Linked DNA regions of Lepisosteus oculatus. The protein of the gene in region 1 binds, or shares a complex with, the protein of each later gene. Links are inferred from orthologs where the notes say so. Each region holds a gene or a part of one and is shown in the gene's direction. Other genes may lie near its edges.

The links.
Region 2: the proteins of egln1a (region 1) and epas1b are in contact, whole or in part, in a crystal structure (PDB 7Q5X), measured with the Homo sapiens proteins. The link is inferred for Lepisosteus oculatus from reciprocal best matches to the Homo sapiens genes EGLN1 and EPAS1. Residues at the interface, in NP_071334.1 of Homo sapiens: Gln239, Leu240, Val241, Ser242, Lys244, Ile251, Arg252, Trp258, Asp277, Ile280, Arg281, Ile292, Asn293, Gly294, Arg295, Thr296, Lys297, Tyr310, Val311, Arg312, His313, Val314, Asp315, Pro317, Asn318, Asp320, Arg322, Arg370, Trp389, Tyr390; in NP_001421.2 of Homo sapiens: Asp525, Leu526, Glu527, Thr528, Leu529, Ala530, Pro531, Tyr532, Ile533, Pro534, Met535, Asp536, Gly537, Glu538, Asp539, Phe540, Gln541, Leu542.

Annotation. Positions count from the first base shown.
Region 1 is NC_090712.1:5,069,735-5,073,654, reverse strand, and holds the start of egln1a (egl nine homolog 1), read left to right. Parts: upstream 1-1,045; 5' UTR 1,046-1,603; coding exon 1,604-2,359; intron 2,360-2,640; exon of another isoform or gene 2,641-2,664; intron 2,665-3,920. UniProt on the Homo sapiens protein: Cellular oxygen sensor that catalyzes, under normoxic conditions, the post-translational formation of 4-hydroxyproline in hypoxia-inducible factor (HIF) alpha proteins.
Region 2 is NC_090712.1:13,467,854-13,471,773, reverse strand, and holds the start of epas1b (endothelial PAS domain-containing protein 1), read left to right. Parts: upstream 1-1,497; 5' UTR 1,498-1,955; coding exon 1,956-1,981; intron 1,982-3,920.

The DNA of each region.
Region 1 (3,920 bases):
TCAATTTAAAAATACGTCATACTGGAAAATTGCATTTTGGGAAATGTATTTTTAAGATATAGCGGCTCTCTAACGTGGTGTGTACAGTGTATACGTACTGTACAAGACCGGTATTTCATTTAAAAAAACACTCAAAAAGTTAATGCAATTCTTACACGTGAGCACATAATAATTAATGACAGGAAAAAAAGTAGATTATTGTTATGGATCCTACAAGTATATGGGATGAAGGTGTGACAAATGCAGGGAATTATGCTTCTGTTATAACTGATTATGCGGTACCTTTGATCATACAATGCCTTTACTATATTCAGACCGAAAAAAAAAAGAAATCTCGTCTGGTTTTAGGGAAACAAGGCTGATTTTGCCTAATCGGGTTAAGCACACGCAGTGAGGAAACTTGCAACCCACAAACAAAACCCAAGTCCAAATACGGGGTGCATTATAATATCAAAAGTGAGATATGAGGGTTCCGAACTATTGTGCCAAGAGAGGGTGGCGCTTAAAACACGTTGCTTTGAACAGCAGTATCCCTGGAGTCCACAAAAAAGCTCAACAGCTGGCCTATCATTTGCATTAATAAAAACAACGGGATTTTTCTGGGACACTCAGAAAAAACATCTTTCAAGGGTCCCAAGATGCTCTTGGCACCGTTAGATCACACAAAACACAGATACTTCCCGCAAACGTAACACCTTCAGGGTGTGTGTTTAAATGCGTTATTTCTTCTTTGTAAGCACTGCCTGATCAATAATTGCTGTAGAAGATGGCAAAATCGGCAAATCCCGGATTTCTGATGGGTCACGAAGAATACATGCAATGGCAGAGTATTTCGAAGAATAGGGAAACGCGCGCTGCGCGTCGCGTGTCGTAAATGCCAGATCTCCACAGAAAAAACTACGTCTTAAAATAAGCGCTCGGCAGTTCTGACAGCAGCGGCTGGGTGGCGCTCCAGGGACGAGCCCCTAATTTCAAGGCTTCAGTTCTGAGGAAACCCAGAACAGATTTAGTTGTTTCCCCCCCCTCGGCATTGTGACGTCGCTGTGTCTGGAATTCTGAGGCACAGAGGCGAACGCGTTCCGAAGCGCGTCGGAGCGGCCGCAGGTGTCACGGTTCCGAAACCGCCTACGGGCTGGGCACCCGATTTGTCTGGGCGACTTGACAACGCCGCGGACTGCACACAGACACGCACGCCTCCCCGGCCGCACTCCACTGCTGGGGTTCTTGTGAATGGCTCTAGGCGGGCCCTGCCCTTCCCTCGTTGACGTCAGGGGTTGGGGTTGGTTAGGGACGACGTGAGGAGCGGAGAAAGAGCGCGGCGCCATGTGTCTCTGGGAGACTGGCGCTCTGAGACCAGGGGCATTTCGGAGTGCAGAGGGAGTGCGCCATGTGCCGTCTGCACTGTCCGGTGTTCGCCCTCCAGTAACCCGCAGAGGGTAACGCAGCGTGGGTGATGAAAGTGCGTCGCGCCGAAGCGGAGGGAGCAGGTTTTCCTTTGGGCTTGTTTGCGGCGGCGGATCCCTTCCAAACTTGTACTGCGCCGCCGGGGCGAGGGGCAGCGCTGGATTTAAAGGGCCAGTAGCCGCCGCTGAACTTCGCAGCCATGGCGAGCGAGGAGGGCACGCTGTCGGACCTGGAGCGGGACCGGCAGTACTGCGAGCTCTGCGGGAAGATGGAGAACCTGCTCAAGTGCGGGCGCTGCCGATCCTCCTTCTACTGCAGCAGGGAACACCAGAAGCAGGACTGGAAGAAGCACAAGCTGGTGTGCAAGGAGGCGGGGAAAGCGCCGAGCCCGTCGCAGCCGGAGAAGAACCGGGCGGTCCGAGACGGGAAAGGAGCACAGCCGCCGCAGAAGGCCCGCCCCGGGCCGGACACGCCGGCTTCCCAGAGCCCGGCGGACACGGGGCCTCCGGAGAGGGAAGGGACGACGGATCATATCAACTGCGCGGACGAGCCGGGTGGCATCGCCAACAACAAGCAAGCCGGGGACGGGATTCACAATAACATTAAGCCCAACGGTCAGACGAAAGCCCAGCCTCAGAAGCTGGCCATGGAGTACATCGTGCCCTGCATGAACAAGCACGGCATCTGTGTGGTGGACAATTTCCTCGGGGAAGAGGTTGGACTGCGCATCCTGGAGGACGTCAGAGCCCTCCACCAGACCGGCAAGTTCACGGACGGCCAGCTGGTCAGCCAGCGGAGCGACTCCTCCAGGGACATCCGGGGCGACAAAATCGCGTGGATCGAGGGGAAGGAGCCCGGCTGTGAGAAGATAGCCTTTCTCATGAGCCGCATGGACGATCTGGTCAGACACTGTAATGGTAAACTGGGAAACTACCAAATAAACGGGAGGACGAAAGTAAGTAGCGCCCCAGGTGCGGACGGTGTAACCCCCCCGGCGCGCAGGTGCACATAACCCTCCACACCCCCTCCCCTCCCCTCTCCTCTCCTCTCCCCTGAGCAGGTGAAAAACTGGCCCGCCAGCTGTCGTCGGGGAACCGCCGGGTAAACACCTCCACGTGTGAGGAACGAGGCGCCAGGATGATTGTTGTCTTTCGAGAGTTTTGTTTCACGCGTGTCTGTAAAATGCGTGAGATGACACGTTTAGCACCGAGTCTTGGTGGGGGGGACAACACTTACTTTGACCTGAAGCAGCAGGTGACGGGGAAAACAGACGAGTTTATTCCAAGATCCATTAACAATACCGGGTGCTTTTCCAGCTCGTAAGTAGTCGAGTTCCTTGGTGTTTGCTCTTGTCCGACACCTCTGCACCATTCGTTTCCGTCAGACGCAGTGGCAAGCAGCTGGAATATAGTCCGTGACCCCTTTTGACGTGTTTTCTGCGATGGACAGTTACAGGGGTTAAAAGGGAAAGTTGTGTTTGTGTTTTTTTCCTGGAGTGGGGAAAAATGTAGCTGTTTCCATTCGACAGCGATGCAGGCATTGTGTGTGTCAGCGTTAAAATGAAATCATGATGGACTACTGACCAGCGATCCTTGGGCGAAATGCTCTTCACTTTGACGAAGGAAAGCGAGGCCTTAGTCCGCTAATAACTTTGTAGACACGGACCCAGGCTGAGTCTATCAGCGCAGTGCCTAATTGTCTAATGAAATACGCAATACCAGCTCAATTAAGAACCCGTTCTGAGCTGTATCCTTTCCAGAATTCTTATTGAGATGACAAACGTTTATTTTTCGGCGATCGTTCGATACCGGTGTAAATCATTATAGCACGTTGTACGTGTTTGGGAATGAAAAGCATCAGGGAGAGTTTTACGCACACGTGATTTAGAAAGTGACTGACGGATGTAATTCCATGTGACCGAAGAAGATTGAGCCTGGAAGTGACAGATGTTCCGAAGTCCAGAAAAGAGCATTTCTGTATTCAAATAACGGAGAAAATAAAAGAGAGGTTAAAGAACATTTTAGGATTAAAAAAAAAACGTGGCTCACTAAATTAGTCGTCTGAATTCTATATAGGCTGATTTCACTGCAGTGATAATGTTAATCCCTTTTTATTTTTTTGAGCACGTTTGTGATGAGAACAAGGAAAAAGCCCTTAAGAGAATCGAGCTATTTTGTTTTTAAAAAGTGCATTAAAATAGTATATGAAGTACAAATGGAGTAGTCGAGCACTTCAAAACACAGACCCCTTGGATTAAGACGAGAAAGCTTTAACCTGTCCACATTTGCTGAAACTTTATGCATTTGTTAGAATGCATATTTGTGTCTTTTTTTACAGCAAAGGCTTTATTGAATTTATACAGAACAGCATAGCAAAAAAGTGCTGTTTTGTATAAGTCAGTTTGACATGTGTTTTCTTTCTTCTCTTTTCAGCATGGAATAAACCTGTTACTGAGAAATGCTCAGGTGATGCAAAATGATCATTAAAATAAGTTGAGCAGTGTTACGTAGTTACCA
Region 2 (3,920 bases), about 8.4 Mb from region 1:
TCATTGCACGGTACATTGCCTGTCTTAAAGCAGTCTACAAGCCTGCAGCTCTTCTAGATCTTTGCTTTAAGGCTACACAAAGCAGCTAGTGACAGTCATTGCCCTTTCTTCAGCAGGAGTTAGCGCCACAACCTCCCCAGCCTGCCACTGCTAAGAAAAACAAGCTCTCTGCCTTCTTGTCAGCCCACCTGTTTGTACTGTAGTTGCAGTGAAGAGTGCAGCTAACAGTCTTCTCCATGTCTGCCAGGACAGTGAGATCCTTCTCTGTTGGATCCCAGAAACTCAGACACCCTTCACTGCTGCCCTGTTAGACCTAATTACTAGTGATTCAAAACCTTCACGAAAGTCATCAATGCTATGGAACAACAGTTGGTTGACTTTTGTGATTCTTATAATTTTAATCAATGTAACTGTTTTAGGAACAATAGTCAAAATATTTACCATCCAACCAGATATTTTATTTTGGAATTGAAATACAATCTTATATACAGTATGACGCTTACAATTTATATTATACAGTATAGGACTCATTTCAATACAGTATAGGACTCAAGTCTTATTTATTCCTGTATCTGAGTTATGAAGTTTAAATAAACATGTATTAACATGCTACTCCTTTGTTATATTTCTAAACCATCAAGTGATCATTTGAAAATGTAGTACTGAACATCATTTAGAATTTTTTTGGACTATTCCTAATGTATTTGGGTATAACTGTATAGTTTAAATACTTTCAAATAACATTTTGTGAAAACAATGTGAATAATAAAACAATTGCTCTAGTTAAGCATTTAAATTACTTAAACTATTTTGAAGAGTATTTACAAATAAAATATCAGAGACCGTTTTGCTATGAAACTATCGGATCCCTGCACCTTTCAAGATCTGCATGTAGCATTCTGACACTACAGTGGATGTCACACTACGATGTGGGTTTTTCAGTGTTTTTTTTTTATTTTCCATTTCGTTCTGCCATCCAGATATGAATTGGTCCTTGCTACTTCTTCGCTTAATCACAATTTAGTCAAATGCTTTTATTGCCCTCTGATTCAATAAGGCGATTTTTACAAATAATTATAGTTCTTCTATCATTCTATTCTTCTTTAAATCGTATTTCTAGAATCTGGTTCAACGCGTTTAACAGTAAGTGAAACTCGTTTTACAGTAAGTGAAAAGAAACTGGCATCCATAACACAGCCCCTCTTGGCTAAACGGAGATAACCCAGGTTGCAGGCGATAACTCCCGCATGCGAGGAAAGCAGAGCACCCAGATTAGTGACCTGGTGCACCTGCGAACTCCGGCCGGCGGGCGAATTGAATGATGAGGCGCAACTCTTCGCTGCGGCGAGGCTGAAGTGAAAAGCGTACCGTACCTCACAGAGCCGACAGCAAATGAGCTCACCTATAGCGCTGTCCCGCCCCCACGGCCCGGGGAAGACGGGGGCAAAGGCGGTGTGTGTGTGTCTGCCGAGGGAGGGTCTCGGCTGGGTGCTCGCCAATCACGGCGCGCACATTAACTTGCTGTCAGCAGTCCAGCTGAGTGCAGGGAACAGTGGCCGGGGGACAAGGGCTGGAACTTTCCCAGTGCGAAAACTCAGCGAAACAACTTTGACAGAGGGCTGAAAACAGAAACCTTACAGCGCAGCACCAGCCTTTCCAGATTTCTGCTTGTTAGTAAGAGAGAGGCTGTACAATCCTCGGCAGTGTTCTGAGACTGTATAGCCCCCCTCCCGATGACAAAAGGTCTCTCTTCATTATAAATGGATATTGCTAGTGTTTATTAGTTACGTTCTCCTTTCATCATTACCGTTAGCTAGCAGCTATTTGTTTTTCGGTAGTTTTTTTTTTCCATTATTATTTTTTTTTCTATTGTGAAAACTTTTCAAAAGCACCGCTGGAATTTCTGGAGGACACGGGATTTGATAAAGGACGTGTTCAGTGCTATTTCGACCACCATGACCGCTGAAAAAGAAAAAAAGAGGTAGGGTGCATTTTTCATACAGTATTTAACCTGTTTTTTTTTTGTTTAATGTTTCGATTGAGTTACTGTCTTGGCAAGCACAATGTCTTTGCAATGAACATAACGTGAGGACCGATGTAACCAAGATCACTGACGCTGCTGTTAATAGGACTTGTTGCGCTGCAGGGAGAACATACTGTAGTGAAGTTTAAGAAACTGCTGTCAACCTTCTGACAAGGGCAGCAACACAAATGTAATGATATGAGCTTATACCTTATGATCCGGACCTCTTATGCGATGTAAAGTGAAAGGATTTGCGCTGAATATTTTTCTTTCAAATGTGTGTATGTGGCGTGCAGCTGCGATCTGCACGGTATTTATATGCCGTCTTAATTTATTATATGATGTACATACTGTACATTTTGTCACGGTACAGCCTGTTACAGATACTGCGATCTTGTCCAACACCAAATGTGTCCGACATACGGTACCAGTTCCAGAAGATATATGCTACCATTACAAAAATAAATATTGTAATATTGATTGAGAGTTTAATGGTTAAACTTGTTTTTTTGTTTTTTTTTTCTCTGCTGCTGTTTACGGGATTCTTTTTTTAAATCTAAACTTTGATCTCTGATTTGATTGGTATACCACGGAGGAGTGTGAGCAGAGGCGACCTGTGCGAGTCTCTGGTATCGTGCGGCTGTTGTGTGGCCCTAGTTAATACGCAGGTTAATTAACAACAGGTGAAACAAAGCGTAGAGGTAAAATACAGTGACAGGTCGATTGTGAGGTGACTAGGACACTGTTTTCGAGCTGTAGTAGTTGCAAAGCATTGACCAATTCTGTCATAAAATGTGATGGCAGAGTTATTTGTGTGTCTCAGCATTTTAATATACTGTAATCTGCGGTAAAGCAACATAAATCATTGCGCACATGGTTACCTTTTCATGTTTTTAACCCTTAGAATATGGTATTATTCATTTAATTGTCTCGGCTGCAAAAGTGAAGTGATTCTGAAAAATCTTTTTCGTTTTATACTGTATTCATCCTCATACCCAGTGGAATAAAATAAATATCCAATAATAAGTGTAATAAATAAGATAGGGATCTTTTAAAATATTAAGTATTTTAGCTGTTCTTATTTCAAGAATTTATCAGGTTTGCAATTTATGACCTTTCCCATTAGTTGCATACCGTATGGGAGACCGTAACACTGGGAAACTACAGTATGTGTAATTGATTTGTAAAGTCACAATACTGTGTAATTCTGTACTTTGCATTTGACAGGTTATTAGAACAAAATGTTAATTTCCATCGTTGTACATAACATTTACACATTAAATGTCCTCTGTTTCAGTTTGTAATTCTTCTGTAAGTAAAATTATATACATTTTAATTAGAACTTGTTAGGACTGGATATATAGCCTGCAACGTCAGGCTGTTACAAGCAAAACTGTACAATACAACTATTTAAAAAGTATGTGAAGATTTTGCAATGTGTATGATGGGGAAAATGTGTACTTAGTGGCTCTAGTAATAACACAATAAATTCGCTCGCAGTATGACTTCGGTTTGTATACCATACTAAAAGATGGCAGCATCTATACTGCACTCAGGAACATATTGAGTCATCCATTTGATTTATGTTTTGTGTTTTTTTTTCCGTTTGTTTCCATCAGTCTGAAATACAGTTTTGAAATGCTTCATGTTACCAAACTGAAACAGGCCCAGGAAGTGGAGTGTGAGGAATGATCGTTCACTATAGCCTTTCCTCCCTCACAGGCCAAGGCTGTGTGAGTTTATCCATACGCCATGTTAACACGTTTTGTTTCTTTTATCAAACTAGGTTCGGTCTTCAAACCCTTTGTTTGAGAAATGGACTTGCATCTTCCAGATCTTGAAGATTTAGTAATTGCTCTGATCTCTCAAGCACAATTAAGGCCTAGCACTGTGATCG